Linked DNA regions of Macaca mulatta. The protein of the gene in region 1 interacts with the protein of each later gene in a pairwise test. Links are inferred from orthologs where the notes say so. Each region holds a gene or a part of one and is shown on either strand. Other genes may lie near its edges.

The links.
Region 2: the proteins of GABARAPL2 (region 1) and KIAA1958 interact in binary tests that used the Homo sapiens proteins (3 or more experiments, as listed by UniProt). The two-hybrid records come from large-scale screens. The link is inferred for Macaca mulatta from reciprocal best matches to the Homo sapiens genes GABARAPL2 and KIAA1958.
Region 3: the proteins of GABARAPL2 (region 1) and GIMAP6 interact in a two-hybrid assay, tested with the Homo sapiens proteins (2 studies listed by BioGRID). The two-hybrid records come from large-scale screens. The link is inferred for Macaca mulatta from reciprocal best matches to the Homo sapiens genes GABARAPL2 and GIMAP6.

What each region holds. Positions count from the first base shown.
Region 1 is NC_133425.1:70,916,081-70,926,931, forward strand, and holds the start of GABARAPL2 (gamma-aminobutyric acid receptor-associated protein-like 2), read left to right. Parts: upstream 1-4,239; 5' UTR 4,240-4,363; coding exon 4,364-4,397; intron 4,398-4,727; coding exon 4,728-4,783; coding exon of another isoform or gene 4,784-4,841; intron 4,842-5,892; coding exon of another isoform or gene 5,893-5,917; coding exon 5,918-6,090; intron 6,091-10,851. UniProt on the Homo sapiens protein: Ubiquitin-like modifier involved in intra-Golgi traffic. Modulates intra-Golgi transport through coupling between NSF activity and SNAREs activation. It first stimulates the ATPase activity of NSF which in turn stimulates the association with GOSR1.
Region 2 is NC_133420.1:45,738,869-45,749,740, reverse strand, and holds the start of KIAA1958 (uncharacterized protein KIAA1958 homolog), read left to right. Parts: upstream 1-5,848; 5' UTR 5,849-5,879; coding exon 5,880-7,050; intron 7,051-10,872.
Region 3 is NC_133408.1:190,048,711-190,059,582, reverse strand, and holds the start of GIMAP6 (GTPase IMAP family member 6), read left to right. Parts: upstream 1-4,437; 5' UTR 4,438-4,549; coding exon 4,550-4,639; intron 4,640-5,482; exon of another isoform or gene 5,483-5,538; coding exon of another isoform or gene 5,539-5,610; intron 5,611-6,681; coding exon 6,682-6,766; intron 6,767-8,259; coding exon 8,260-9,053; 3' UTR 9,054-10,872.

The DNA.
Region 1 (10,851 bases):
TTGTGATCTGCCCGCCTCGGCCTCCTAAAGTGCTGGTATTACAGGCGTGAGCCACCGCGCCTGGCCACAGTTTTTTTTTTTTTTTTTTCTTGAGATAGAGTTTCAGCCTGTCGCTCAGGCTGGAGTGCAGTGGCACTATCTTGGCTCACTGCCACCTCCATCTCCTGGGCTCAGGCGATTCTTGTTCCAGCAGCCTCTTGAGTAGCTGGGACCACAGGTGTGCGCCACCATGCCTGGCTAATTTTTGCATTTTCAGTAAAGATGGGGTTTCATCATCTTGGCCAGTCTGGTCTAGAACTCCTGGCCTGAGGGGATCCACCTGCCTCAGCCTCCCAGAATGCTGGGATTACAGGCATGAGCCACTGCACCCGGCTCCAAATTGCACATTTTAATCATGTTTCTCTCTCATTTATAGGAGCTCCTATTCAGGGTCTCTTGAATTAGGTTAAAACTTCTGAATGTTTGCTTGAAAGCTTTCCAACATTTTATTTACTTATCTACACTGATTTTCTGTTCCCTCTTCCAACCCCAGTCTTTGTTTTTATCTGGAAAGGAAACGTTTACTCATTGAAAAATGTACCCCTCTCTCTACATCAGAAGATTCACATTCTCTGTGAAATCTTTCTTGTTAATTCTCACTTGGCTTTGTGCTGGCCCCTATTGCCCTAGCAATGCCTCAGTGTCCATGTTCACATACCTCTCCAACATTTGAAATTCATTCTCTGTGTTTTATAGATTTGTTAATCTGTAATTACATTGCATATATTCATTATCCTATTTCTTCTCCTGACTTGAACCTCCTCAACTAACCACCCCCTCAAGGAAGGCATCCAGTGTCCTTAGAACATTACATAGCTAAATACAATGACCCAATGTGTAAAGAAGGTGGTACATATCATCAAGGTGGATGAAATAAGTCAATTAGAATGGTGAACCGGGAAAAGACACTAAGAAAGTAGGTAAGGATGGAAGACCAAAGTGCATTGCACATCATCGAGACCATCAGGAGACATGTCTATGAATTGGTGTGCAGTGAAATATTCCCCTAAGAAGTGTTTTTAGCTCTTTCACATGCAAGACAATATACATATATCTTGGACTAGGACACAATGACCAGCTCTGTAAAGGGAAGCAGGGGTGTTGAGTCCAATTTCTAACTCCTCCACTGGTTCACTGACTAGGAGATGGTGAGCAACCATCTTCATTCTTCAGTGTTTAATTCTATTTGCAAAATAGGTATTTTCTTTTTTTTGAGACACAGTTTCACTCTTGTTGCCCAAGCTGGAGTGCAATGGTGTGATCTCAACTCACTGCAACCTCTGCCTCCCAAGTACAAGCAATTCTCCTGTCTCAGCCTCCCAAGTAGCTGGGATTACAGGCATGTGCCGCCACACCTGGCTAACTGTTTTGTATTTAGCAGAGATGGGATTTCACCACGTTAGTCAGGCTGGTCATGAACTCCTGATTTCAGGTGATCCACCTGCCTTGGTCTCCCAAAGTGCCGGGATTACAGGCATGTGCCATTGTGCCCACCCAGGTATTTTCATTTTTAAACTCACTGTCTACCTACTCTTACCCAGTTTAATAGCTTGAAATATTTCTAAATTTGAGACTCATAGCACCATTCACCAACTCTACATCTTCACTTGGGTGTGTCTCCTGGACATCTCATATTTAATATCTCTAAAACCAAACTCTTGTTTTTCACTCCCCAAGCTGGCTCCATCCTATTTCAGTAAATGGCAATTCCATCCTTCCAAAAACCTTGATTTTGATCTGTCCCTCATATCTTACATCCAATCTATCAGCAAATGTTACCATTTTTACCTTCAAAATATATTCAGAATACAACTGCTTCCCATCACCTCCCTAGACCCCACCTTGGCCTAAGCCAATATCATCTTTCACTAGGATTATCACAATAGTCTCTCGACTATTTCCCTGCTTCCACCCTCAGCGCCTACAGTCTACTAAGCTAGCCTTTTGAAAAGGAAAGGCAGATTGTGTTACATCTCCGCTTAAACCCCTACACTGACTTCTCATCTCATTCTGAATAAAACCCAAAGCTCTTTGCATGGAATTCAAAGCTCAACACAGTTTTGTTCTAGAGCTCTTTGAATTTGTCTCATAACACACTCTCCTCTCTCATTTATTCAGCTCCAGCCACAGGGGTTCCCTAGAACATGCCAGCCACTTTATCTAATTAGCATTCCATCCCACACTTTAGTCACCTACTCTGCTTTATTTTTCTAAACAGCACCTATCATTACCTAACATATTTATTTTTTGTCTTGTCCCACTAGAATATGTCAGGGGGACAAGAATATCTCATGCTCCCACCCATAAGAACAGGGGTGTCATCTGTCTTCTTCACTGTTTTTCCCCAGCACCTAGCACAGAGCTTTTGTATGTAACAACAGTAATTTCTAAGTAGGAAATTCAAAGGCTTTTTTCACTTCATTACAAACGAACAAACAAACGCAGTGGCTCACACCTGTAATCCTAGCACTTTGGGAGGCCAAAGCGGGCAAATCACTTTCTTGAGGTGAGAAGTTCAAGACCAGCCTGGCCAACAGGGCAAAACCCCATCTCTACCAAAAATACAAAAATTAGCTGGGTGTGGTGGTGAGTCCCTGTAGTCCCAGTTACTCGGGAGGCTGAGGCAGGAGAATCGCTTGAACCCAGGAGGCAGACTGTAGTGAGCTGAGATTGTGCCACTGAACTCCAGCCTGGGTGACAGAGCAAGACTCTGTCTCAAAAAACAAAAACAAAAACAAAGAAGCAAACAAAAAAACTGTTCTAGTTGCTCAGACACACAGTTTTAAAATAACAAAAATACTTTTAGAATGAAGCTAGATTCCACAGCATCAATCAGGAATTTCCAGTGTAGGAAATGATGAACTACCATGTTCAAACATACAGGCTTTACAGGTGCATCAGAATCACAAGCACGTGGCAGAGTTCATGTGTCCAATTAAGTGAACATTCTTGCTACATGTTCAGCAGCTTATAAACAGATGGTGACCCACACCAGACTGCCTTGATGACTCTGCTTGGAAAAAAGGCATTACGTCACTGACTGGAGAATCTCAAAGCATATGTCCGGGCAGGTGACACACACATAGCTCAGGCTGTGATTGCTAAACCACTTCCACAGCCAAACGAGGAAAACCATCTCATGACCAGCTCTCAGGGGAATTCTCCGAATCTGACAGTCACCTCTAACTCCTCTGCCAGCTAAGATTAAGGGGTCTGTGATCAGTGATGTTACACTCCTCAAATGTGCATTTTTTTTTTTTTGAGGCAGAGTCTTGCTCTGTTGCCCAGGCTGGAGTGCAGTGGTGTGATCTTGGCTCACTGCAACCTCCACCTCTGTGGTTCAAATGATTCTCCTGCCTCAGCCTCCCGAGGAGCTGGGACTACAGGCGCCCGCCACCATGCCTGGCTAATTTTTGGGGTTTCACTACGTTGGCCAGGTTGGTCTCCAATTCCTGACCTCAGGTGATCCACCCGCGTCGGCCTCCCAAAGTGTTGGGATTACAGGCGTGAGCTACCGCGCCCCGCCTCAAATGTGCATTTGTGATACCTTTTCGTAAATGTTTATTCAAATATTTATTCACGAATAAAGCAAGAAAATGGGATTTGTTTAAATTCAATTTCTAGGTCCAAGGCAACCTATTACAGCTGTCCCTAATACTGTACCTCCGGGTTGTCCTCAGTGCCACCTCCTACAGTGTCCTCAAACACCACCCCTACCATACTGAGCCCCCAATCTGTCACCCCTCCGAGCAATACTCCCCAACTTTCAACGCCCTAAACAGCTCCTTTGTTATCGCCAAGCACTAGAAACCCCTCATGTCATTCTTACCCCTAAAGACCGTTCTTGTCACCAATTCCCCATTCAGACTTTCCCTATGAACCGCTCTAAGCGCTCTCAACTATCAGCCACACCCCCAAACAGCCCTCAGTAAGAGCCCTACACTATCAGCCAGACGTTTCCCGCCACCAACGCTCCCGAGACCCCACTCCTGTCACCAGTTCCCCGAACATTCCTTCCTGGGGTCGCAGATGCTGCTCACAGATGTCCCCGTAACCAACTTCATCACCTCCGTAGCCTAGGATCCTCCGAGGGGGCCATCCGCTGCCCCGCCCCTTTACTTGCGGCCCGGCCCCTTGGCGCGGCGTCCTGGCAAATAGCGCCGGAAGCCCCGCCCCCGACCGGTTGCTAGGCTCCGACAGCCGGAAGTCCCGCCTGCCGTGTAGTCGCCGCCGTCGCTACCGCTGCTGCCGTCGTTGTTGTTGTGGTCGGTGCGCTGAGCTCCGCGGCTCCGAGAGCCGGTTCCGTCCCTTTCCCGCCGCCGCCATGAAGTGGATGTTCAAGGAGGACCACTCGCTGGGTAAGCACTTGGCCGTCGGCCGGGCTGCTGGTGGCCGGGGCGGCGGGTGGGCCCCCTCCCCCACTGTGGCGGCCCTGGTTCGGGTGGAGTGGGGCGGATGCCCTGCTCCGGTCTCGAGTCGCCCAGGCCCTGGTGCCTGGGGCAGCCGCCTCCTGACCCCGTGTCACCCTCCGCGGGCCCTGCTGGGAGCAGTAGGGGACAGGACCGCGGCCGCAGGGACGCCGGAACCAGGGCCTGGGCTGTGCGCAGGGCGCAGGAGGAGGAGGGCCGGGGGCCGGAAACCGACCGGGGGGCAGGCGCAGCCGTCAGCCCTGTTTGTTTCTCCCACAGAACACAGATGCGTGGAGTCCGCGAAGATTCGAGCGAAATATCCCGACAGGGTTCCGGTGAGTGTTTGGACTCTCCGCCCCCTCACCTCGCTGTCACCTCTGTCGTCTGGGACCCGTAATAGGCCCCAGGCCATTCAACAGTTGACAAGTTGAGATTCCAGTCCCAGTTAATAGTAACTGACAGGCCAGACCGGGATGAGGCGTTCCAGGGCCGGGGTGTGAGGGGCTCGGGCTGGTGCTGTTCAGGGTGCCTCAGTGCTGAATCTCCCGATCTAGGCCAGCGAGCCGTCTGCAGCCTCGGGGCTCCCTGGCCAATTATGTAAGGAACGATGTTCTAGGACAGGGCAACAGGTCACTGCCACTTTTGGGAATGGTGGTGGAGCGAGACTGTCACTTTGGTCTTGGAAGTGGTACTTGAGTCTCAGGACGTTCATCTTTTACTTTGAGCCTCCATCTTTACCTAACTTCTAGCTCCGTTACCTCACCTTGACCCTGTCATCCTTGCCTGACCAAAATAATGTGAAAAGCGCTGAAAACCCTTCTGCCATGTTTTCTTCTTAGTCAATAATAAATATGATGTTATATTTCTTTCATGGTTGGGGAGACAGTTTTGTAATCCTTATTAATTTTTAATGGACATTAAGGCCTGTTATTGTAGCTCTTTGCTTGTGAATAATTCGTCTCAGGAAAGGAGTAGGAGGGACGGATTTGAAACTTGTTCAGAGAGGAGCAACAGGCCAAATGAAGAGCTTGGTTCTTGACTGGCTGAAATTCCAGGCATTCCCATTAGTCCATCCGTTCTTGTCTCCTGTGTTCCTTGGGAACACAGTAGTGTTTCTTGTAGTGTGAAGGTGGATCCATTCTGGGGTCCTAGAGTAACGGACCATGGATGAAATCCTCCCCAGATACTCTTAGGTCTGCCCAGATAAAATGTGGAAAAGCTTAGTAGTAAGGGCTGCATTTCTCTTACATAATTGACCACAGAAAAGCACTTACCGTTTCCCTATAACACATTTATATCAATTCTTAACCTCCAGAGCGTGTGGTTTATTAAGCCAAAGACATATTTTCTCCTGCTATGCAGTTTCCCACCCACCTCCTTGCCCACACTCTGTTCGTCAGCTCCTCAGCCATGTGAGGCCAGAGCCTCCCTTTAGGAAACGCAGTCCTGACCTCTCTTTACTTTCCCAGGTGATTGTGGAAAAGGTCTCAGGCTCTCAGATTGTTGACATTGACAAACGGAAGTACTTGGTTCCATCTGATATCACTGTGGCTCAGTTCATGTGGATCATCAGGAAAAGGATCCAGCTTCCTTCTGAAAAGGCGATCTTCCTGTTTGTGGATAAGACAGTCCCACAGTCCAGGTGAGAGGTGTTTACTAGATGGGCCCTCTGGTATTAGACATCTGGTTGGCTGCTTATGAAACTCCAAACCTTTGGAAGTCTGAAAACTCTTAGGGGTCCTGACTAGAAATCTGTATTTTGTGCTCCCTGACATCAGGGGCTCCAGGAAAATAATGGCTGCAATACATAAGAGTGCATTTTGGATTCACAAAATAGAACAAGGCCTGGACTTTAAAAAAAATGATGAAACTCAGCCTAACATCTCCAAGAATCTTTTAAAACAGTTGAGAACTTATTTAGGCTTAAGCTATAGGTAGAACTGAGGCCTGAAATGAGGTTTTCTTTCCCGAAGGCAGTCCTGGCACGCTCCTCCACTGGGAGCCTGTGGGCCCTGCTGAGGCTCACTCAGTTAATCATCCAGTTTGCTTGCTTCCAAACTTGGTCAACTCTTTGACATTGTAAGTGTCTATAGTTGCCTGATCCTCAAGTCTGACAAAATGACTGCTGCACAGTAAAGGGCTCTGAAGTCTTTTTATAGACTCATACCTCCCTTGGTAGCACCTGCTTTGACTGTCAGACTATTGTGCTGCCTGGAAGCAATCTTTGGGACTGTAACTTGTGGCCTGAATGTAGGCAGAGGCATTAGAATTCCCCTTTTCTGTGTATTTGATAGCCCAGCTTTAGTCCCCTGTGGAAAGAGGAAAATGGAGGGGCTCCGTCTGACATCCTAGTCAGTCCTTTCCCATTACTGAGTGGGTAGTTTTAGGCCCTGATCCAGATTCTGGCCCCCACCTCTCCCCTGAGTGTGAGTTCCTGGCCACATCTTATCTTAGTGACCCAATGTAGGTTTCATATACCACCCCCAGAAGTAATACTTCTAAAAGTGAAGGCTTTCAGAAGCCCTGGAAACTAGCCCAATGTTGCCCACATAGGTTCCTGTTGAAAATCCTTGAAGTCTCCAGAAGAGGCCTCTGCCAAATTCCAGTTACTTACTTCTGTTAAAGGTGGAAAGCTCTGGCTATTTTTTGGTCTGATTTCCTCTTTCCCAGTGTCCTCCACCTCCACTTCCTGGTGTCTGATAGAAAGGCAGGGGAGAAATGGAAGCTCCCTCCCTAAGGCCAGCGTTCAACCTGAGGAGACAGCCCAGGGCCTGCCCACTGGACACCACTGGTCTGCCACAGCTGTAGCTCTGGAAGCTGTGGTGTTGCTTGAGGTGATCTTGTCACCCATAGGGCTCTTCCAACCTTCCTTCCCAGGCCTCTGGGCTGTGTCTTCACCTGGGGAGGAAGCCTTGGGCATCCGTGGTTACCCTGGGCTTTCCTTAAGGTGTTTGGGGAGGTAATCTTCTTTCATAACATCTGCAACTTCTGCAGAGTCTTGGTGACCCTGTGTTTCCTACTTCCCGGAGGTGGTGGCTCAGTGGGAGAAAGTAAGTGACTAGGACCTATGGCATTGAGTTTATTTTCCTCAATTCTGATTCTCTGGTTCTTCTCAAAGGAAATGAAGCAGGTTTCTGGAGACCTTCAGATTACTCAGATGGCTCCACAGTAATCTGGCAATTAAAATGGCTACAGGTCTTATCAACTTCCCCTCCCCCATTATCCCTGAGATAGAAATAGAATTGGAAATGAAAAATGATTTTTCAGGGCAGCAGAGACTGCTTCAACCCATTTTCTCTCCAAGTCCCGTTTTCCTTTCCAGTGTGGTGAGAATCAACCCTAAAGCAGATTACACTAGTAACTCAAGTCAGGATTTTAGGGCCGAGTAACCAGAAATCCAAGACCCTTCAGGATTTAGTCACCAACTAGGACCCTTTTGCCCAGGCTGTCAGTTCTTTTGGCCCTAGTTAATGACTGTCACCCTACATTTAATGCAACTGTTCATTTTGGGGCTTTATTCTCAGAAAAATTTTTTTTTTTTTGAGACAGAGTCTCACTCTGTTGCCCAGGTTGGAGTGTAGTGGTGCAATCTCAGCTCACTGCAATCTCTGCCTCCTAGGATCAAGTGATCCTCCCACCTCAGACTCCCTAATAACTGGGATGGGACCACAGGTGCGTGCCACCACACCGGGCTAAAAATATAAATTTGTTTCTAAACAAAAGAGGCTTGTGACATCATTGGGCTTTATGCAAATGTAAATCAGCCATAAACATAAACAAAAAGTGCCACAGGGTCCTTCCTAAAGCTGGCTATGATTCAGCTTCACCATCTCTTCCCAAGACAATTTGCAGCCTCTTCCTCAGGTCTTTTCAGCCTCCTTAGGGAAGCATGGAGCCTCTCTTAACCTTCATGCAGTGCTTGCTGGCTTCAAAGAGTGGCTGGGGAAATTAGAGAAGGGATGAATTCAAGCCTGCAGGAGCCCTCCCTCTCCGATGACTGACTGGTCTGCATGAAGATCAATTATGTCTGAGGCTGCAGGAGAATAAGTTCTCAGTTATTTCTGCCTTGGAGTGAAAAACAGGCGGTCACCATGTAAAGTGTCATGATTTTTATTTAGAGTAGTTAGTATTAAATATTGATTCTATAAATAGAGACAGAGGCAAGTCCCTAAGTTTTACTTCCTAAATTCAAGTTCTTGTTTCATTTAAAGAAAAGGGAATCACAATGGCCTTTTCCCATTTAGCGTTGGAAAGTTGAACTCTCTGCTTAGGTGCCTGCATCAAGAATCAGGCCAAAAACGGAAGGGGAACCATGCCTTTGTTCAGACACAACTTCAGAAAAAACATCAGTGTACAGGTTTCCTACTCATGGCCTTAGAGGGGAACTCAGACCTGGCAGTCAATGGTCTTTGGTCTTTGTTTATTTAGAACATAGATAAGAGTCTTGTTAATCCCCTGTTTAAAATAGAAACAGGAGTATATCATTAAATAAAATATCTCTAAGATACTATTTTTTGTTGTTGTTGAGACGAGGTCTTGCTCTGTCACCCTGGCTGGAGTGCAGTGACACAGTCTTAGCTCACTGCAGCCTTGAACTCCTGGGCTTGAGCACTCCTCCCACCTCACCAGGCTGGTCTCAAACTCCTGGCTACAGGTGATCCTCCTGCCTTGGCCTCCCAGAGTGCTGGAATTATGGGTGTTACCCACCACACCTGGCCAGATACTATAATTTGACATTGGGAAACCTGTGCTGTTTAAGAATATGGTGTTTATTTGCTTCTGGATCTTAAAGAGATCTTCAGTAAAAGGAAGCTGTGATGTCTTGGAAATGAAAAGTGATTATCAGGGCAACGGAGACTGCTTCAAAGCCATTTTCTCTCCAAGTCCCATTTGCCTTTCCAATCTGCTGAGAATCCACCCTAAAGCAGCTTATACCAGTAACCCAAGTCAGGGTTTTAGGACAGAGTAACAAGAAATCCAAGTCCTGACTCTTCAGATCCCAATTAATGACTTCACCCCACACTTATTCATCCTTTATTTAGAAATGTGCTTAAAGCACTTGGATCATTTCTGGGTAAATACTTAAGGACAGGACATTTTTTTTTTTTTTTTTTTTGAAACGGAGTTTCACTCATGTCGCCCAGGCTAGAGTGCAGTGGCACGATCTCGGCTTACTGGAACCTCCGCCTCCCAGCTTCAAGCGATTCTCCTGCCTCAGCCCCTGAGTAGCTGGGATTACAGGCGACCACCACCACGCCTGGCTAAGTTTTTTTGTATTTTTAGTAGAGACGGGGTCTCTACTAAATACAATATGGGGTCTCACCATATTGACCAGGCTGGTCTCTAACTCCTGACCTCAGGTGATCTGCTGACCTTGGCCTCCCAAAGTGCTGGGATTACAAGCGTGGGCGACATGACTGAAACTCTGTCTCAAAATCAAAACAAAAAAAGGAACAACAACCAGTGGTTAATCTTTATATTTTGGAATCTTGGGGAGCATCAGGGCCTTATTAACTTTGACTGTGAAGCAAGTGCCTCTCCAGGATTGACAGCAGTGGTCATTGCCCTTCCACCTCCTACCACCTATCCTGCCCTGCTGGAGAAGAGATAATCCAAGGTCCAGTGGAAGCACATGGGCTCCAAAGCAGATGGGTGCCCAGGTGTGCTCATCAGCCCAGCCAATTCATGAGTCAATGTAGACCCCACAGCCTCCATGACCTGCCCTTGGTTGGGGTGAACGTAGGTTCTGTAGGGATTGGGCATCCACACAGTTCTAGGTCAGCCTTTCCCAATGCATAGAGCTGTTGAGTAGCATAAACTGATGTCTGTCTAGAGTCACATGGCCATTCCTGATGTGGATCCTGCTGTAACTTTCCCTTTTTTATTGCACAGTTTCTCCACTGGAGAAATGGTTTTGCCTGGATCTATGTCCTTCAGTGGAGGGGTTGGGGAGAGGGCTTTAGGGGCAGTTTAAGTTCATTTTCACACAGTACTTCAGGGTCCCACTTCACCTGAGATTCGCTCCATAGCTTGAATCTACCACTGGCTTTACCCATTTTTTTCCTCGCCAGACTCAGAGCTTGGAAGGTGGCAGTGCCTCTTTACTCAGAGCAGCATCTTTCTCAGATGAATGCATGTGATACTTGATGCCACAGGGTGTGCATTTGTGTTAGGGACTGGAGGCCATCTTCAGGTGTTTTCTACAGCCACCTCCCAGCAACTTAGGCAGCAAGGCTTGGAGCTGCAGTGCTGCTTGCGAGTTGTCAGGGCATCCAGCAAGCCTGTGCAGCTTAGCTGGATAGATGCATTAGAGCTGCCTCCGTGCTTCAGGATCCTCAGGCATCCTAGCCTGCTCAGTGCTGTGTATAGCTCAGGCCTCCAAATTCTGAGGGAGAAGTTTATT
Region 2 (10,872 bases), on another chromosome or scaffold:
TAGGCAGTATTAGCATACAAATTTTTATAAACAGAAACACGCAGGTATACTAATGACAGTTGCATGGGTCTAACAGTTATGAGCAGATGAACCGTGTTCATGAAGGAATAGCTTTTACAACTGAGGTCGTCTGAAATACTGTGACGGACAACCTAAGTCTTTTGATGAGATCCATCAAAACTGTGATGGGTCACCACTGCATATGCAGTTACCTGAAGAGCTAAGATCTTGAGAAATTTTATTTTTCACAAATGCAGATGTATGAAAGGACATCTCTTCATTTATTAAGGACATTTTGGTGCTTTTATGTACACGCACGATGCTTATACACAAAGTCAACATTGTGGTAATGTACCTTTTTGGAGTCAAATTTGCAAAAAGTACATAAAATAAATTAGAACTCTGTGAGTCTTCCCAATGTTTCTACCTCCAGTTTTGGAAATGATAAGATGAAATACATAGCATAGCACATTGTAAGAGAAATAGTGCTTGACCCAGCATGGTGGCTCAAGCCTGAAATCCCAGCACTTTGGGAGGCTGAGGTAGATCGCTTGAACTCAGGAGTTCAAGACCAGCCTGGGCAACATGGCAAAACCCCATCTCTACAAACAAAAAATTTAATACAAAAATTAGCCAGGCATGGTGGTGCGCACCTGTGGTCCCAGCTACTAGGGAGGCTGAGGTGGAAGGGTTACTGGAGCCTGGGGGGCAGAGGTTACAGTGAGCTGTGATCTCACCACTGCACTCCAGCCTGGGCAGCAGAGCAAGACTCTGTCTCAAAAAAAAAGAAAAAAAAATAGGGCTGCGGATTTAAGAGTAGGAAAACTTAAAAAAAAAAAAAAAATTGACATATCAAAATGTGTGTTACAGGGATATATTATGGCAGTTGCATGGAGGTAGTCTGTAAGAACTGGCCGACTTTCATGATCATTAACTATATTTTGAAGTCTTGCATCTTGACAAATAGCTGCTTTTTTTCTTTTAGGACATGGCTGTCATTGGAGAATACGTTCATGTTCCTTCTACATGTGGTACTGTTCTTTTTGAAATTCTTGTATGATTCCATATACAACAACATGAGCATTGCCTATTAAATTTCCCCGTTTTCTGTGCCATGCTTCTGTTTTGTGGGTAGATGGAAATCCATTCTACATGTACTCCATACACAGACCACAAATTTGGCGGAAGCAATACTGGTGATGGAACAGCAACACCATTGCATTAAGTGTCTTTTTATCCTATTGTGCACATAATTATTTTTGAACTAGTCAGTACTTTGCTGGCTTCTTCAGGCAATATGGCTTTAATTCATTAAAAGCTTCTGGAATGTCATCTGCTGAAAGGAATGCCAGTGCAGGCAAACGAAGCTTTTAACTGAAGTTTGTATCGTTGCCATATCATTGTAGCCAATCCACTCATCTGAATTTCCTGCCAAATGCATTAGGCTGAATGGGAAACACAAACTATTGGTAACACTTTGAAATTCACTTTTAGAATTCTTTTTTTTTTTTTTTTTTTGAGACAAGTTTCGCTCTAGTCGCCCAGGCTGGTGTACAGTGGCATGATCTTGGCTCACTGCAACCTCCGCCTCCCAAGTAGCTGGGATCACAGTCGTGCGCCTCCATGCCTGGCTAATTTTGTTTTGTATTTTTAGTAGAAACGAGGTTTCACCACGTTGGCTGTTGGCCGGGCTGGTCTCAAATTCCTGACCTCAAGTGATGCGCCCACTTTGGCCCCTCAAAGTGCTGGGATTGCAGGCGTGAGCCACTGCACCTGGCCCAAATAAGCATTTATTAAGTGCTTTACTTTTTCTTGTCATTAATACATAATTGAGTGGATAAGTTCTAGAATTTTCAGATCTAACAGGGACATGAATTGTATATAGCTGATAAACAGTGGGAACAATTTTGAAAGTGCAATTTCTTAGCTAAAGTGAAGCATGTACTAGTTCTTGTATGTTAGATTTAGTGGTAAATATAAGAAACCTGTATTCTTTGACAGTCAAATCACTAGTCAAGAATAGTTCACCGTTTAAAGTTTTTTGTTTGTTTGTTTAACACTGAGGAACCTCAGTATCAACAAGTATCTTTGGTTCAGAAGGTCACTGAGCTTGTTGAATTCTTTTTATTCTCTGCTGAAGGGTGTTTTTTGAATGGAAGCATGGTGCTATACGTGAAGGGGCAGAAGTCTTACACTATTGAATAATTTGGCCAGGAGATTTCTTGTACTTTTGGCCTGTGTTTTCACTTCTGTGATCTTTGAAACACTTGCTGCACTTGTATTCGGAGAGTGGTTGTGGTCTACAAATTTTGTAAGTATATACTATCCATCTGAAAGTGCTTATTGCTTGGCTGCTGCAGTTAAGCAATTTTCTGCTTGTGCAGCACCAATAATGATTAGCATTTAAACTTTTATCTTTCACCATTTAGTAACCTTGTATATTTAACTTATCACAGCCCTTTTGCAAGGGAACATTTCGTAGTCTCTTCTGTTGTGTTGTAAGGAATTCAGTAAGAAGGAATGATACTTGGCTTTGCCAGTACCAAATCTGTATTAGTCAAGATTCTCCAGAGAGACAGAACTAATAGAATATGCATATATACATGAGAGGGGATTTATTAGGGGAACTGGCTCATGTGATTATGTAGCTGAAAAGTCTTACAACAGGCTGTCTGCTAGCTGGCGACCCTGGGATGCTGGTATAGTGGTTCAGTCCAAATCCAAAGGCCTCAGAACCAGGGAAGCTGATGATGTGACTCTCAGCCTGAGGCTGAAAGGCCGGGACCTGGGAACTGCTGGCATAAGTCCCAGAGTCCAAAGGCTGGAGGCCTCTAGTTCTGATGTCCAAGGCAGCGAAAGAGAAGCCTGTGCTAGCTCTGAGAGAGAGAACAATTCACCTTCTGTATTTGTTCTCTCTGGGGCCCCAGCTGATTAGATGGTGCCTGCCAACTTTCAGGCGAGATCTTCACATAATCCACTCAGACTCACACACTAATCTCTCCTGGAAACACCCTTACAGACACACACCCAAATAATGCTTTACTAGGTCTCTAAGTCTTCCTTAATCCAGTCAAACTGACACCTAAATTTAAGTCCACAAGTTCACCCCATGTCAGTTTATCACTCATAATGTATTTCCTTAAACCATACTTAATTTCCAAATAAAGACAATAACAAGGTAATAGTTCTACTTAACATGATGTAGCTATCGTATGATTGTGATTTTGGGGATGTTAGACTTTAGGGATTTTGATCTTTCGGGATTTCAACATTTGGAACTATGGCATTCAGAATTTTGTCTTTCAGGATTATGATCCAAATCCCTTCCATTTACGTGTCCTTGACCATGACTGTGTCATGGAGCCATCGTTGCTCCAGGGGAAGCTGGGAAAAATACTTAAGTGAGCACACTGCTGCCTCAACAAATTTGGACTGTCTGTGAGGACTAAGCGAGAACAGACACTGGGTAGGCAAATTAGCAGTCTCTGCCACACCAGTTAAATATTAATAGCTATGTTAAGTTCAAAACAGACTGGGGTGCAGTAACTCATGCCTGTAATCCCTGAGCTTTGGGAGGCTGAGACAGGAGAATTGCTTGAGCCCAGTTCAAGACCAGCTTGGGCTACCTAGGGACACCCCTGTCCCTGCAAAAAAAAAAAAAAGAAAGAAAAAAGTTCAGAACAAACCAGTCTATGTCCTTTTTTTTTTTTTTTTTTTTTTTTTACATTTCTACTTTAACCAAAGTTATATGAAAGAAACATAAATAAGTCAATTTCTAGAGTATGAAGGAGACGTAAGATCATGTAGTCCTGGCATTTTAGGCTTAGAGATTATTAGTGCCTTGTCTGAGACCACAGGGAGCAGTTCCAGGCTTGGGATTTCACGTTCCTGATTCCCATGCCAGTCACTGTTCTTTCCGTTTACTTGGCTGCTTCATGAACTCTGGGTGCTCATCTGTCACTCTTCTGCATATACAAGGTGGCTGGGTTTTGGTTACACTATCTGGCAGAAAATCGTCTAATCCCTTGAATGATTACAATAAAAGTGATACGAGGAAAATTTATGTGTCTTACTTGAGAGTCTTATACGTTCACTTTGTAAGTGTTGATGGTGCTGGCAGTATGTAAACATTCATTCATTCTTCATTCGTTTATTCGACAACAACTGCATACTAGACAATAGGTTATAATGTCCCAAGAACCTTATGAATTTCCATATCCCCAAGTAGGTCCTCACTGAGTGAATAATTAAGTCATAGTTTCTGCCTTCAGGAAATTATTAGGTCTGAGAGACAGACAAGCAAATCAATGATAATAGTACAGCAAAGGCAAATCCCTTGAGATGATACAGGCATGGGTGAAGGGAAGCTAAATAAATCTCTGATGCAGAAAGGGGGTCTGGAAAGATGCCAGTAGGAGGTAGCCTCAGGTTCAGTTTTGAAGGGGCTGGCCAGGTGAGGAAAGAGAAGGGCAGCATATCAAGCAGAAGAATGAGTTTCTCACCAGTAGGGAGTTTAGAGAAGAGGGGACCACAAGAAGTATGGGAAGAGGACATGGTCATAGGAAATGAGGCTTGAGAGGTGGCCATGGCCACATCAACAGAGACCTTAATAGTATGTTAAAGGATTTGAACCTACCTAACCTCCCTGACAGGGTGCCATGGAGTCAGGTCAGGGAATGGCTCAGGTGTCTGTCCACTTTGGTGTAACCACCTGACATTGTGGTTAGACCGTGGTGCCTGAGTGCAGAGCACCAGCAAGTCACCTCTTGTTACCCACATCTGCAGATAGCCAGGGCCAATAAAATCACACATAAAGATTCCTGTGCCTCCCTGCCCAGTGCTCCCAGGACCCGCCTCTTGGCAAAGCCTTACTAACCTTTCTAGCCCCTTGCAGACTCCACATGTCACCTTTCACTTTCCTACCCATCATGTTGTCCTCACTCTTCAGGGACTCCTAACAAGGGCTTCTTTTTGTCTCCTGCCTAATAAGGAATGATTTGCTTCTATTTGATGGTTGGTTATGCTTGGCTTTATGGGACCCTCAGATGGTGGAAAACACCAGACATACTTTGTAACCTCTAATGGTGGGATGAAAGGCAATATTTCAGGAATTGCAGGCAGCCAGGAGACAGGAAGCCTGATCCTAAGAGTGGTTAGAGCAGGGCCTCCTGCTTCCCCATCCTTGCTGCTTCGGTCTACAGCCTGCCCCTCCAGCAGGTCTTTTCCCGGTCTGTTCTCCCTCCTCTGCTGAATACTTTTCTTTCCCATTTCTCAAATCGAGCTCCTGATCCTCTCCTTGGACTCCTAGTTGCATTGTCGTCTGGTGCCCAGCAGAGAACTGGCGTCCTTTCTCTGACCTCTATCCTAAGATGGATCCAAACCTCCTTTGTTGGCTCTGCCTCTAGTAGCGAAGTTTCTGACATCAAAGGGTGTCATTGGAGCTGCATCCTCTTGGTTAATGCAAGTAATAGACACAATTTTATTATTGAGGGACCATCTGAACCTCTCTGTCGGTGACTCTGGAAGTAAAATGTACCATGGAAAAGCTCATTTCTTTATTACTTGTTTCTTTTTCCTTCTCTCCTTTTTCCCCCCTTAGGCAGGAATTATTACAACAATAAAGAAAACTAACAAAATTTTTCTCCAAATCCCACAACCATGAGTCATCAGCTGTTTTTACTTTTCCTGATATTCTCTTCCAGTCCCTGCTCATCTACAGCGACATTAACTAAATTCGGTTTTGAAGTGCATTTCTTTTTTATGCCAAATGATCATATTTGGAACAGACTGAAGTAATCGAGCTATAGGAATATCTTGGGTAATAATGGCTTCTTCTTTTGATTATTTCCCTTTAGGAGTGACACTGCTGATCCTGTAACATGGAGGATTGTCTTCATACCTCATCTGAGAATCTGTCCAAATTGGTCAGCTGGGCCCACAGCCATGGGACTATTTGCAGCCTCATTCCAAACCTGAAACACTTGCTTTCTGAAGGTTCCCATGGGAACCTGACAGCAATGTGGGGCTGTAGTGCTGGCCATGCTTATCACTGGCCGCTAACAGCTACTTGCAGAGCTGGGTCCCAAGAGAGGGTCTGTTTCCAGGATAACAGAAGTTTTAACTCTGATAGTCCCAGTATAATCGGGGTGCCCTCTGAGACACAGACTAGCCCTGTTGAAAGGTACCCTGGGAGACCAGTGAAAGCAAAGCTAGACTGTAACCGGACCAGAGACTCTTGTGACTTCTCCTATTGTAGTGAGCCCTCTGAACTGGATGAAACTGTTGAAGAATATGAAGATGAGAACACCCTGTTTGACATGGTTTGTGAGTCTTCTGTTACAGATGAGGATAGTGACTTTGAACCCCAAACCCAAAGGCCTCAAAGCGTTGCTCGCAAAAGACCTGGGGTAGTCCCATCTTCCCTCCATTCAAGCTCCCAGGCGCAGATGGTTGACGAATGCAGCAATGATGTCATCATCAAGAAAATCAAACAAGAAATCCCTGAAGATTATTACATTGTGGCAAATGCAGAACTGACAGGAGGAGTGGATGGACCAGCCCTATCCTTGACACAGATGGCAAAACCCAAGCCTCAGACTCACGCTGGTCCCTCCTGTGTAGGGTCTGCTAAACTGATTCCCCATGTCACATCCGCCATCAGCACGGAGCTAGACCCACACGGTATGTCTGCATCCCCCTCTGTGATCTCCAGACCAGTTGTCCAGAAGACTGCTAGGGTATCTCTGGCTTCACCAAACAGAGGCCCCCCTGGTACCCATGGCACCAACCAACAGGTGGCCATGCAAATGCCTGTGAGCACATCCCATCCTAACAAACAGATCAGTATCCCCTTGTCTGCCCTGCAGCTGCCTGGACAGGATGAACAAGTTGCCTCTGAAGAGTTCCTGTCCCATCTGCCCAGCCAGGTCTCCTCCTGTGAGGTAGCCCTTTCTCCCTCAGTTAACACAGAGCCAGAAGTGAGCTCCAGTCAGCAGCAGCCCCCAGTCGCTCCAGCCATAACCACTGAGGCCACAGCACAGTGCATACCAGGTATGGCATATGAGGCGACAGCGAGTCCCTCATCCACGCACGCCAGAATTCTGCGCCGTCAGCACTTCTAAAACCATTCACTCCAGTTTGCTAGAATTCAGTCCTTTGTTAGTCATGGAAAGATAGAAACAATGACTCTTATGTCCAGGTGATACTATAAAGGAAATTCATAAGAATTAAGGCCATAACCAGTTGGCATACCTTAGGGCTGAGAGGACAGCTGTAAGATTGTTCTGTTGATATTGTAGCGTTAGATTTAAGGTTGATACTTGTCAGCTGAATTTTTATATAGTAAAGTTATTTTTGAAAGTTTTAAAAATACGTTTTTCTATCAGTAGCAAGGTGTTTAGTTGTTGTTTGAAGCCAAAATGATGTTGAGTAAGGCATATCTTGACAATAGACCTAATGCTTTTCCATTATTATTTATTTGACTGAGCCAACTTGACATTGCTATTCATTTTAGTTGGTGTGGTAGTTAATAAGTTTTTTAAAAAGCAATAGACATTTCTAAAAGAGGTATTTGATCTTTTCTCTTAAAATTTAAAAGAATACGGAAACTTGGATTTCTGGAATCTGTGAGCCTAACTGGAATGGATTGAGAGGAGAGTGAAATAATTGTACGAGGCCCCCGCACCTGTAATTCTAATGTTCTAATGTTCTTTAATTCTGACATTCAATATTTATTTAATCTGGGCCATTAGTATATAAAGGGGTTGGGTCTCATGCTTTTGCCTTCGTGATTCAAATCTAGTAGGTTAGAATAGAAACGTGGACAAGGACAAACAAATGTGCAGAAATCTGTGGCATGTTTTAGTTTATTTCAGCCCTTCTCAAAAACGTCGTGTATTTTGGGAAATGCTTCCTAGAAGCCTGAGGCACCTGTGCCTTTATCCTGAAACTTCCTTGGATTAAGTTGCTTTACAAACTTTTTTTCCAGTTTTAGTTTCAACCTTAAGATTCCCAAAGAAGACCTTCAGTTTATGATTTTTGTGAAGACATAGTCGTGGTGTTATTAAGAAGATATTCACTGAAAATATTTCTCTCCTGATTGAAGATCATGCTTTTCAGTTTATTCACTTTTCTCTTTTTTAAATAATAGTTTTATTGAGATACCATTCACATATCATAAAATTCACTCTTTTAAAGTGTACAGTTCAATGGGTTTTGGCGTATTCATAGCATTGTTACAACCATCACCATTATCTAATTTCAGAATATTTTCATCACCCCAAAAAGAAACCCCATACCCTTTAACAGTCACTTTTTCCCTCCTCCTAGTTCCTGGCAACCACTAATCTACTTTCTGTCTATGGATTTTCCTCTTCTATATGTTTCATATACGTGGAATCATGTATTATGTGGTCTTTTGTGACCGCCCTCTTACGCTTAGCATAATGTTTTCAAGGTTAATCCATGTTGTAGCATTTCTTTCCTTTTTATTGCCAAATAATATTTTATTGTATGACTATACCATATTTTATTTTTCCTTTCATCAGTTGATGGACATTTGGGTTGTGTTCGTACTTTGGCTGTTATGAATAATGCTGCTGTGAACATTTGTGAACAGGTTTTTGTGTGAGTGTGTATATTTATCTTGCTTGGGTAACTACCTAGGAGTGGAATTGCTGGGTCCTGTGGTAACTTTATATTTAACTTTTTGAGGAGCTGCCAAAGTGTTTTCCCAAGCAGCTCCATCATTGTACAGCCTCACTAGTAATCTATAAAGGTTCTTATTGCTCCACATTGTCACCAACACTTGTTATTTTTCATGTTTAAAAAAATAATAAATATCCTATTGGGTGTGTGAAGTAGTATCTTATTGGGGTTTTGATTTGCATTACCCTAATGACTAATGGTATTGAAATTTTTTTTCATGTGCTTGTTGGCCATTTGTATATTTTCTTTTGAGAAATATCTACTCAAATCTTTTGCCTATTTTAAAATTGCCTTCCTATTGGTGACTTTTTGGAGTTCTTTATGTATTCTGAATATGAGATCCTTATCAGGTGTATAATTTGCAAATATTTTCTTCCATCCCATGGATAAGTCCTTTTCTTTCTTTCTTTTAAAAAATATTTTAATGAATTATACTTTGATCATTGAATAGCAGTGTGGTCCTTGGCTAATCTCATCATGAGAGAAAATGTTATCTTTATTAGGCTGGTGAAAGTCTTTGTTCCAGGAAATCTGACTCTTAATATATGTAGGATATAAGTAGTACCTTTTCACTTAAATTGTTATGAACCTGGTTCTAGTTTATTTATTTGTTTGAGCTCTCCTGCCTTTTTTAAAATTATTATTTTAATAGGGTGGAATTCAGAAATGTATTTTGCCAAGTGATCCAGTGTACCCAGTTTGGTGAGAGTATTAGTTGTGTTGCATACCTTTTCAGTGACTCATTCCTGCAAAGCAAGATGCAAGACTTTTCTGCATCTGCCTCATGGATAGTAAATGAGGCCCTGAGGCGCTTTGCTAAACCATATATGAATATATTACTGTCTCATTATTTTGGGAAAGAAATTCAGCCTATTTGAAAAAAAATACTAATCCATTTATTATTGCGTATATTACATTCTCTTAGGTTTTTTTCTTCCCTCATGGAAATTGCACTTCTTATATTAGCTATAAAAAGCAGGCATGCCCAAGGAGAGCATGTAATATGTACGGTCATAAATTGTGATTTGGCTTTACTCTCAGAGGAGGATTAGTTTGGCTTGGAGGTGAACCTTTAAGAAAAACAGTATGAAGACTAGTTATGACGATTTTCCAAGGATGGTCCTCATGTTTTGATCCATTGTTCTGAGGAAGGATATCCTATTGCTAAGATGTCATTAACTTTGGAGAAATACTATTTGAACTGGAAACAGCAGTGGGACAAATAAAACTCAGACTCACATTTTTCTTTTGAGTGAACTGTATAAAGTTAACATAAAATTTACTTTTTACTCTAGTACCTAATTAGATTCTGTGTTCTAAAGTTTTATTTATGTATTTGTGTTTGCATGTTTATTTATAGTAGGTAATCTTCTTTCTAACATAGATTTTAAAAAATTTAGAATCTAGCATACCCAGATTCACGTGAATGACTTTGTTACAAATGGACCTTACATCGTTAATATGTAAAGCGTACTTGGGACTAAGCAAAGAAGACAGGTTCTGAAAGCTAAGTCAGGCTCTTTTAAAGTGGATGCTCTGTACTGGGTCTTTATCAGATCATTGTAGAAATACTGCATATCTTTAGATAACATTTTTAAAATAAATAATTTGACAAATCACTATTGAGTCAGCCAGAAACAAAGAGAAATTGTTCCATTTTGTTTGGTTTTACTGTTGCCATTTAAATTTGATTCCCATAGTGGAAAATCATCCCTACTTCTGTTCAGAGCTGAACTCATAAAATTATAAAATGTTAATCAAGGTATAGATAAAATCATTAATTTTCATGTCAATCCTGCCATACTGCTCAATCCAAATCTTAGCAAACAATGAGTAAAGAAGGCATCTATTATTAGAAGAATTATTGACTACCTACTAGTAGCTTGGATTCCATTAATTTTTGAGGTTTTATGTAAATTTGGGGCATTTGTCATAATGACATTTAAATCTCGATTGCATCATGAGTTAGGGTTTTATGTGTATATTATATTTCTTCAATATACTCACATACACATAGCTTCTTTTATGATTTTGTGCAAGGATCCCTTTTATTAATCAACTCTTTTCCCAGAAGTTCTGTGGTATAAGCAATCAATTTTTGCATATCAAATTTGTATGTATATATATTTTTTCTTTTAAAAATATATATTTATCTTTTTCTGATAG
Region 3 (10,872 bases), on another chromosome or scaffold:
TCTTCAAGGAGAATTAGAAGCCACTGCTCAGTGAAATAAACGAGGACATAAACAAATGGAAGAACATACCATGCTCATAGATAGGAAGAATCAATATCGTGAAAATGGCTATACTGCCCCAGGTAATTTATAGATTCAATGCCATCCCCATTAAGCTAACAATGACTTTCTTCATAGAATTGGAAAAAACTACTTTAAAGTTCATATGGAACCAAAAAGGAGCCCACATTGCCAAGACAATCCTAAGCCAAAAGATCAAAGCTGGAGGCATCATGCTACTTGACTTCAAACTATACTACTAAGCTACAGTAACCAAAACAGCATGGTACTGGTACCAAAACAGAAATATAGACCAATGGAACAAAACAGAGCCCACAGAAATAATACCACACATCTACAGCCATCTGATCTTTGACAAACCTGACAAAAACAAGAAATGGGGAAAAGATTCTCTATTTAATAAATGGTGCTGGGAAAATTGGCTAGCCATAAGTAGAAAGCTGAAACTGGACCCTTTCCTTACTCCTTATACGAAAATTAATTCAAGATGGATTAGAGACTTAAATGTTAGACCTAAAACCATAAAAACCCTAGAAGAAAACCTAGGTAATACCATTCAGGACATAGGCATGGGCAAGGACTTCATGTCTAAAACACCAAAAGCAACAACAACAAAAGCCAAAATTGATTAATGGGATCTAATTGAGCTGAAGCACTTCTGCACAGCAAAGGAAACTACCATCAGAGTCAACAGGCAACCTACAGAATGGGAGAAAATTTTTGCAATCTACTCATCAGACAAAGGGCTAATATCCAGAACCTACAAAGAACTCAAACAAATTTACAAGAAAAAAACAGACAACCCCATCAAAACGTGGGCAAAGGATATGAACAGACACTTCTCAAAAGAAGACATTTATACAGCCAACAGACACATGAAAAAATGCTCATCATCACTCACCATCAGAGAAACGCAAATCAAAACCACAATGAGATACCATCTCACACCAGTTAGAATGGCAATCAGTAAAAAGTCAGAAAACAACAGGTGCTGGAGAGGATGTGGAGAAATAGGAACACTTTTACACTGTTGGTGGGACTGTAAACTAGTTCAACCATTGTGGAAGACAGTGTGGCGATTCCTCAAGGATCTAGAACTAGAAATACCATTTGACCCAGCCATCCCATTACTGGGTATATACCCAAAGGATTATAAATCATGCTACTATAAAGACACATGCACGTGTATGTTTATTGCAGCACTATTCACAATAGCAAACACTTGGAATCAACCCAAATGTCCATCAGTGACAGACTGGATTAAGAAAATGTGGCACATATACACCATGGAATACTATGCGGCCATAAAAAAGGATGAGTTCGTGTCCTTTGTAGGGACATGGATGCAGCTGGAAACCATCATTCTCAGCAAACTATCGCAAGAACAGAAAACCAAACACCACATGTTCTCACTCATAGGTGGGAACTGAACAATGAGATCACTTGGACATAGGAAGGGGAACATCACACATTGGGGCCTATTGTGGGGAGGGTAGAGGGGGAAGGGATAGCATTAGGAGATATACCTAATGTAAATGACGAGTTAATGGGTGCAGTACACCAACATGGCACATGTACATGTACCCTAGAACTTAAAGTATAATAAAAAAAAATAAATAAATGAAAATAACTCTAAAAACTTAAAAAAAAAAGTCAGGAAACAACAGATGCTGGAGAGGATGTGGAGAAATAGGAACACTTTTACACTGTTGGTGGGAGTGTAAAGTAGTTCATCCATTGTGGAAGACAGTGTGGTGATTCCCCAAGGATCTAGAACTAGAAATACCATTTGACCCAGCAATCCCATTACCAGGTATATACCCTAAGGATTATAAATCATTGTACTATAAAGACATATGTACACGTATATTTATCTTGGCATTGTTCACAATAGCAAAGACTTGGAACCAACTGAAATGCCCATCGATGATAGACTGGATAAAGAAAATGTGGCACATATACACCATGGAATACTATGCAGCCATGAAAAAGGATGAGCTCATGTCCTTTGCTGGGACATGGATGATTCTGGAAACCATCATTCTCAGCAAATTAACACAAGAACAGAAACTCCAACACTGCATGTTCTCACTCATAAGTGGGAGTTGAACAATGAGAACACATGGAACACGGAGGGGAACATCACATACCAGGGCCTGCTGTGGGGTGGGGGGCTGGAGGAGGGATAGCATTAGGAGCAATACCTAATGTAGATGATGGGTTGGTGGGTGCAGCAAACCACCACGGCATGTGTATACCTTTGTAACAAACCTGTACACTCTGCACATGTACCCCAGAACTTAAAGTATAATAATAAAAAAAGAAACAAGATCGTGACAGAGATTGTGAATTACATTCTTTGTAAATATGCTATGTTTAAGACATTAGGATACAGAGGACCTCCCTCAACAAAACAACAGAATACATTATTTGGCTTGCAGGAAGTGAGGGATAACACCATGTGGGAAATTTTTTTTAAATAACCAAATAAATAAGTAAGTAAATAAGTAAGTAAATAAATAAATAAATAAATAAATCTTAAACTGAAATGGCAGTAAAGCCATAAACTCAAAGGGAAGACTGGTTGCCCCAGGAGCAAATGAAGCTCTCAGCCATACTCTCTGGAGCCTAAATTTGGAATCAGTTGTAAAGTGAGTTGTAGATTGAGGAATTTCTGGATTAAGCCAGAAATCTGAAAATGGGGTTGAAGTGGTCTCAGTTTAGTAGTGCCAGCACCCCCTTGTCAGTTCCTGATAAAAATATACACAAATCCTCTTTGGAGTAAAGCCACCTTGATTTCAATCCCAAGGATTTCCATACTTAAGTTCACAATCAAAGACTGTGAATGTAATTCCAGAAAAGAAATCACCAAAAGTGAGAGTCAGCGAAAAAGAAAAACAAAAAATAAAAAACAACCCAAAAGAACCAACATCAGATTCATATGCTGTATCAATCAGGTTAGGCCAGATTACCTTGCAGTAACAAACACTTCCCAAGTCTCATGACTGACTGAACACTGAGCTGAATGATCCCTGGCTTGCTCAGTCAACCACAGGTCTGGCAACTCTCCAGGGTCAGCTTGCAGAAGATGGAAATGATTAAAATTCAAAATAGATGGTTAATTTCAATTATGGGTGGAGTAATAACATTCTAAATACTTTCCAAATACTTAGGCAATGGAATGGTAAAGATCAACACATGACTTTTAAGAATTAATCATGTTAGGCCAGGCGCGGTGGCTCATGCCCATAATCCCAACACTTTGGGAGGCCAAGGTGGGCAGATCACTTGAGGTCAGGAGTTCAAGACCAGCCTGGCCAACATGGCAACACCCTGTCTGTACTAAAAATACAAAATATTAGCTGGGCATGCGGACACCTCTAATTCCAGCTACTCGGGAGGCTGAGGCATGAGAATCACTTGAACCTGGGAGGATGAGGTTGCAGTGAACTGATATCACACCACTGCACTCCAACCTGGGTGACAGAATAAGACTCTGTCTCAAAAAAAATTAATTATGTCAGGGTATTTACAGAATAATTTAAGTAGAACATTAGAAGATATATATATATATAAAATATCACACACACACACACATACTATGTAACAATTTTAGTAAATACACCATGACTATCAACCAGAACAGAACAAAAGAAAATTAGAACTATTATGGTAGATTGAGTGGATTTTTTTAAGGGAATCTTAACATTTTAAAATCATGTGGTAACAATATCATCACCTATGCTCCTATGTTCTCAATTTCTTCCTTCAATGGCTTCCCTTTAGCCACAGTGATCAGACCTGTCAGTAAAGTCCTAGAAAACATGTTTTTGAGGATGCTGAGGTTTTTTCTCCCTTAGCCTCTGTTTAAAATATTGTTCTTCTCCCATAACAAGTGCTCTCTTTAACCCTACATAACAAGTGCTCTCTTTAACCCTACATTTTAGACATTATTTTGTATTTTCCCTCTTCTTATAGTGCAGATCTTCTAGAAGCTGTAACAATTGTCATTGCCAATGATTCATGCCTTACAGGTAATGAGTATCAGACCTTGTCCTGAGAGAAACTATTAAAGGAAGGAGAGGCTGGGGAAGAAAGGAGACAATGACCATTTGCTCCAATACTGAGGCATAGAAGTTCCCTGGGGAGGGGGTGGGGTTTAGAAAAGAGAGATCAGGAGAAAGTCACTCTTCCTGACACAGGTCTTTCTGAGGCATCTGCTTTTTTTTTAAGCTCTGAGTTCTAGTTATCCTGGCTCAGGATAAAAATAATCCCACCACTAGTATCCTCCCTTTTTCTACTTCCGAGGCTGCAAAGTGCAACAGTAGGCTCCCTGACTCAGGAGGGCGGGTGTTCCTGCCCACTTCCTGTTCCTCCATCTCCAGCAGACACTGCTGTTTCAAGGCAGGTCTCCAGCCCAGCTCTTCGATCACGTTTTGCTGAAAATATAAGCAAACATCGGCCTTGTCCTCCATGTTGTTCATACACCATGGAAGCTTTCCTCTGCCTCCTCCGTGAGAGTGTGTGGCTGAGAGACAAGAAACGTGGCCCTTTCTCTTCCCTGTTAGCTGGTGCAGAGGTAAGTCTGAGTAATTGTGTGTGTCATATTTGGATGTGTATGTGTGGGTGTTTGTGTTGTATATGTGTGTTTACATGTTTGTATGTGTTAACATGAATGTGAGTGGTATTTGTGTGTGTGATGTTTGTGTTGTATGTGTATGTGAGTGTTGTTTGCATATGTGTGTGTTGTGTATGTATATTTGTGTTTGTGTGTGTATGTGTTTGTGTGTTCATCTGCATGTGTGTGAGTGGTACATGTGTTTTGTGTGTGTGTGTTGTGTATTTTTGTGTGCTGTGGTGTGTGCAGGTTTGTGATGTGATAAAAAGAGCTGTGACCAACAAGTCTGGAGAACTTTTTGCCCTGTGACAAAGTCACTGTTTAATATTTGGCAAGATGCTTCTCTGAGTTTTGCTTTCTTCCAGAGCAACATGACAAGGATGGTACTATCTGTTCCATCTTCTGTGTTGGAGACAACACACACTGTGGCCAATATGGGAGGCGCCATTCCAGGCAGGGTCCAGGAGGAGGCAGGGAGGCACCTTGGGTGCAGACCCGTTCCCCCAAAACCCTGCGAGGGCACACTGCAGGTTCCTGCATGCCACAGCCTAGTCCCACCCGGCTGTTGTTTCCTGTTAAGCTGCCTGCCTGTTCTCTCTAAAGGAGGAATGAGATTACATTGGTAAAGTGCTGCCTCAGTTTCCACCAGGGATGTAAGGAAGTCAGGAACAAAGAGATTGAGAGACCACCAGTTAGGAAGAACTGAACTCCCTTTGGTAGGTGAAATATTGGACTCTTTCCAGAATCTGGCTGTTCAAGTTTGAGTAAGGCTGTCCGCCTGGTCTGCTTTTTCTCTCTTGCTAGAAAGTCACCAGACCTTCCTGGACTCCCTCCATCCCCAGCCCAGCACTGCAAAATTGATGTCTACCAATCATAAAGCAATATCCACATATACACTCCTGGGATCTGGGGAGGACTGGAGTGTTTGCCAGGTGAGCAGAGTAGAACAAAAATACAACAATGTGGCAATGAGAAAAACCTGTCTATCAGGTTCCCCTGGACTTAGGTTTCCCCACACCCCAGACCCTTCATCTGGATCTGTTTCATCTGGTTATGAATGTCCTACATGATCTGGAAAAACAGTCATGGACCATGCAACTTCCTCCTCAGTCGCACAGAGAAAATCTGCAGAGAGAACCTTATGGGATCTTGACATACAGAACTGTGTTAGTCCATGAAGCCAGGACACATTGCTGTCATGGGAAGGGGGACAGGAGTTCCTGGTTGGGAATGATGTGGCCCTAATTTGCAAAGAGGACTAAGAATTGCTCTAAAAAATGTTATGAAGTATGTTGGGACCTTAATTGGGGAAGAGACATTCACAGGCATCTGGTTCAGGTCCAACATTCATACTGATGGGATGCTGAGGCCTAGGTAGACCTAACTGGTGGTTGCATCTCCCCTGAAGTCTCTGGCTTCCTTCCCAGCTCAGCCCCTGCAATCCCAGTTCTCTGCAATCCTCACTGCACAGTCTTCTCCAAAGTCTGGCCCCAAGACCCTTCCAACAACATCCTACTCATTCACGTCCTCCAGGCACACTAGACTTCCTACTGCTCCCAGGGCACACAGGATCAGAATCACACCTGCTTCTGTGCTTCCCTTCCTCCTCCTCCTCCTCCTCCTCTTCCTCCTCTCCTTCCCCCACCTTCTCCCCACTGCCTCCCCCTCCACCTCCCCCCACCTCCCAGAACAGTTCCAGACCCTGTGTCTATCCAAATATCATCCATTCTTCAGGTCCCAGGCCAGTTGCACCTTTATCTGTAAAATCTCTTAAACTTATGGAGACCACAGTGGAGGGGGCGGGGGATAGGGTCCCTAAAGAAATAGGGTCCCTAAAGACAGCAGAGAGTGTCTTAGACCCCTTCTTCCATTGCCTCACTCAGTCCCACCCCAACCCTAAACTAATGCAAAAAACTTTCCCCTGGCAAGAGAAAGGCGAAAGGCAGGTAGCTGTTGAAACTCATTTGGAAAGTCAGTAGAACATATGATTTTTTTTTATGTAGATGGAGGAAGATGAATGTGAACACATGCCCCAGGAGAATCCCCGAGAAGAGCTGTCCCAGGATCCTGTGCCAGAGCTGTCAGGAGGTAAAGCGAATGAGGAGAGAGGAGCGGGTGGGAAACATTTGGGGTGCAGGTGGGACACAGCTCCGCCACCATGATGTGCTTGGAGAGACAGCTGGTGTCCCCTGGTCGCAGAAATTTACCCACCTCAGTCACCATCAGAGGTCTTTGAGGTAGGGCCCTTCTTATCACTAGCCAAAATAAGAAAAAAGACCCCTGGGTAGGTATGGTAGATAAAAGGAGGCAAAAAATAGCACCAATGACTAACTCACCATGCCAGTCCCAAAGGAAAGGCTTTCACATGGTGGATGTTCTTCCTCAGGAAGGATGTGCTGACAGTGGGTGTGACAAAAATAAGTGGCCTTGGACCAAGACCCTGTGTGGGTGTTTGACTGACTCCAAAGTGGAGCTGTCACGGTTGTAAGGTTGAAAGCGCCTTGTGAACAAGCAGAATGTACTTGGCTGCTGCCTCACATCTGGGCTCTGCCTTATCGAGGGCGTCCCTTTCCCTAAAGCCATTGCACAGGGTCAGGCGCTTAACTTTCAGGCAGGATTTAGAAAAGCTGGAAACCCAGCCCTTTCCTGGCCAGAATACATTATTTGTGATTCATTATGTATTTTAATATGAATGACCTTTTACTTTATGAACTTAAATGGCCTGAGCCATCTGGAAAAAGCCATGTTAACCTACTACAATAGGTTACCAATTACCAATACCTGTGCTAACACCGGTTTGACCTTTTGTTACAGCAATCAAAGTTAGCTATTCCCTTAAGAATCCTCTCCAGATCTCAAGTGATGCATTTGGCTTTAGTAAAGTCCAGTGGTGTGTGCTAGCTCCAGGCTTCTCAGATGGGGGTTCCTGTCTCCTCTGGCTCTGCACTGGGCTAGGTGGGTGGGGAAGAACATCTACTGCCCAGACTCCTGCCCATTCACTCGAATTCCTTTCCAACCACCTCGGGGAAGCTGGAGGGGGGCCAGTGTCACTCAGTTAGAATTGGTGTGTGGGTCAGAGCCAAGGGTGGCTGGCAGGCCACAGCAAGGCCTGTTGGTACCCAGGAGGTGACTGCCCCCATGCTGCCACATGCCAGCTTCATGCTCTGTCATCTGAGATACATCAATGTCTTCAGTGGAGACAAGACTGGGAAACCGGCTATTACTTGTCACTTCTTTATGTGCTCTGGGTCTTGGGACCTGCAAGACCAGGAGAAGGGAATTTCCTTCCTGCCTTCTTCCCCAGTCATATCTAAAAACCCTGGTATTGGGTGTCTTGGTGTTCTATTGGCCAAGTCTCGCTTTTCTCTCTAGGCTCCACTCTTTCACTGGGAGAGAATGTTCAGCCCCACCTTCAAGAATGTGGACCCAGAATGGTGGCCCAGCGCTGGTTTCAGGGCAGATGTTGGTCTTTGACAATCTGCCCCTGCAGTCTGGGGGTACACCAGGGGCTTCTGGTGAGAACAAGATGGGGTACATGGGCCCTAACCCCAGTTCCTTCTGCTTTCTTTGGATACTTCTAGGTCTAAGGGAGAAAGAACAGAAGACCCGAAGGAGACTGAGGCTCATTCTTGTGGGGAAAACAGGAAGTGGGAAAAGTGCAACAGGAAACAGCATCCTTGGCAGGGACGTCTTTGAGTCTAAACTCAGCACCAGACCCGTGACCAAGACCTCCCAGAGAGGGAGCCGAGAGTGGTCTGGGAAGGAACTTGAGGTGATTGACACACCTGACATTTTGTCCTCCCAGGTCCTGCCGGAGGCGGCAGCCGCTATCCGCCAAGCCATCATCTTATCCTCCCCAGGGCCCCACGCTGTGCTTCTGGTGACACAGCTGGGCCGGTTCACAGATGAGGATCAGCAGGTGGTCAGACGCCTGCAGGAGGTCTTTGGAGTGGGGGTTCTGGGTCACACCATCCTGGTGTTCACCCGGAAGGAAGACCTGGCCGGCGGCTCCCTGGAAGACTATGTGCGAGAGACCGACAACCAGGCCCTTGCCCAGCTGGATGTGACCGTTGCACGGCGCCATTGCAGCTTCAACAACAGGGCTCAGGGGGAGGAGCAGGAGGCCCAACTGCAAGAGCTTATGGAGAATGTCAAAGCCATCTTGTGGGAAAACGAAGGCAACTATTACAGCAACAAGGCTTACCAATATACCCAGCAAAACTTGTCACTCAAAGAACTACAGGAAAGGAAAGTAACACAGGATCAGGGCTCTGAGGACGTGCCTGGTGAAGAGTCATGGATGGAAGGACTGTCCCAGATCCAGAAGGAATCTGAGGAAGCCCACAGACGCCTGTTGGGGAGGGCTGACCTTTGAGCCTGTGCTGGACTTGAGCCAAGGACACCATCAGCCCTTGCACACCTGTGTCCAGTCCTCTGTTTCTCTTTCCATCCCATGGAGTGCTTCCCAGTCTCCAGGTCATGATGTCTGGTGTAGGAAGAGAGGCATGGGGCTGGAGGACGGGGTCTAGTGTGCCCAGATCACATCCCAGTTTCTTCATTCCTTCTTCTAGAACATCTGGGTCCTCCCTCCTCTGTGCTCCAACAGCATGCTGTCTTCCTATTGGACCTTCTATCTCACTGGCATTGCCTTTCATGGTTTACTTGCCTATACTCTGATAGAACCAAAGTTTCTTGAGGGCAGGCCTGTATCTTTTACTTCTGTGTAACTTCCACAGCTTTTGACTGCACTGGAGTCATGCAGTCACACTTGGTGCAGCAGCTCTGTGCGAGCTGTTGACCAGATGACGTCTCATCTCTCCCCACACCATGATGGTTTAAGGTGCCTGTTGTGTCTGGTGGCTGGAACATGGCAGTGGTGCTGAGACATGGGGAGGGTTGGAGACTGGGCTGAGAGGAGAGCAAGGAGGAACAGGGATGGAGGCAGGAGGAGCAGCCCTTTTGTTCACTCTTGAACTGTAACAAACAAGCCCCGTTGGAACTTCCTAGTGGGAATGATGGGAGAAGTCGGGGGCAAGGTATCCAAGAAGCTAGGCTGTGGTCAAGAAGGTGGTTCCTTGTCGTGGCTACAGAACATGGAAGCCCCTAGAGATGCAAGTGGACTTGGGCAGAGGAGGTCACACCACCCCATGAAGGTAGACTTATATTAGAGACGACTTGCATCTGTTACTTCCCCTTTTCCCCTGGGTTTCATGGCCACTCATGATATTTGCCTTCACCTCCTAGAAGGCACAGACTACTTTCAACCTGCTGCACCCTTCACTGCCACCCCTCCCTTCTCCCTTGATAATGGGAGCATGTGGATGGGGTGAGTGTCTGCATGTGCAAACGGGTTCCCTAGCAAGGTATTTGTGGGGGTCGAATGCAAGGAGGCAGGCAAGAAAGGGGACCTGCAAAGGAAGCAGTGGAGTGACTTAAACATCTTGCAAGGCAGCCTACCTGGTCTATGGGAGAACTCTGAAGTCCATGATGTTTTCCTGGAAGGCTGTTGTTACAGTTGGGGCTTATAAGAAGTGATACTGGACAGGATGAGAAGGGAGTAGGATATCAGCCTGACTCAGGCCTCAGGCAGGAAGCCGCCTGCCTGCAAGAGGAGACTGATGTGCCTCGGGTGCACCCCAGCTTCTCTGAGGTCCAAGATGCTCCTGGGGAGTTGACCAACATTTGGGAAGATAATAGGAGGCAATGGGGAAACTGCTCCCCAATATATTCCTCTTTTCCTTTCTTCAAGCTGCCTGGCAGGGGGTCTTTTGCTACTTTCTCCTGAGAGGGGTGGGAAGTACAGCTTGTGGGGACAGTGCTGGGAGATGATCAGAAATCGCAGGGCACAGCCTCAGGTCTACCTGGACACTTGTCCGCTGTTGGAGATTCTCAACAGCCAGACACCCAATCTGTGGCCTCCTGCTCTGAGGCCATCCCCCAGCTTCCCTAGAACACAGCAGACATCTGAGAAAGCTTCAGCAGTTCTCTTGCTAACAGATTCAGAAAAGTGTCTCAAAGCAGAGCACAGAGTTATTTGGTGTATGCTGAAGATGGCCTTTGTGCCACAATCATTTAGTAAGTAAGCAATCAATTTCCCATTGAACTGAAAATGCAACATTTATCATACATTCGATTCTCATTCACACTCCTTAAGATTTGTGTCAGAATCTTTATTTCTGTTCATGTGTTCTACT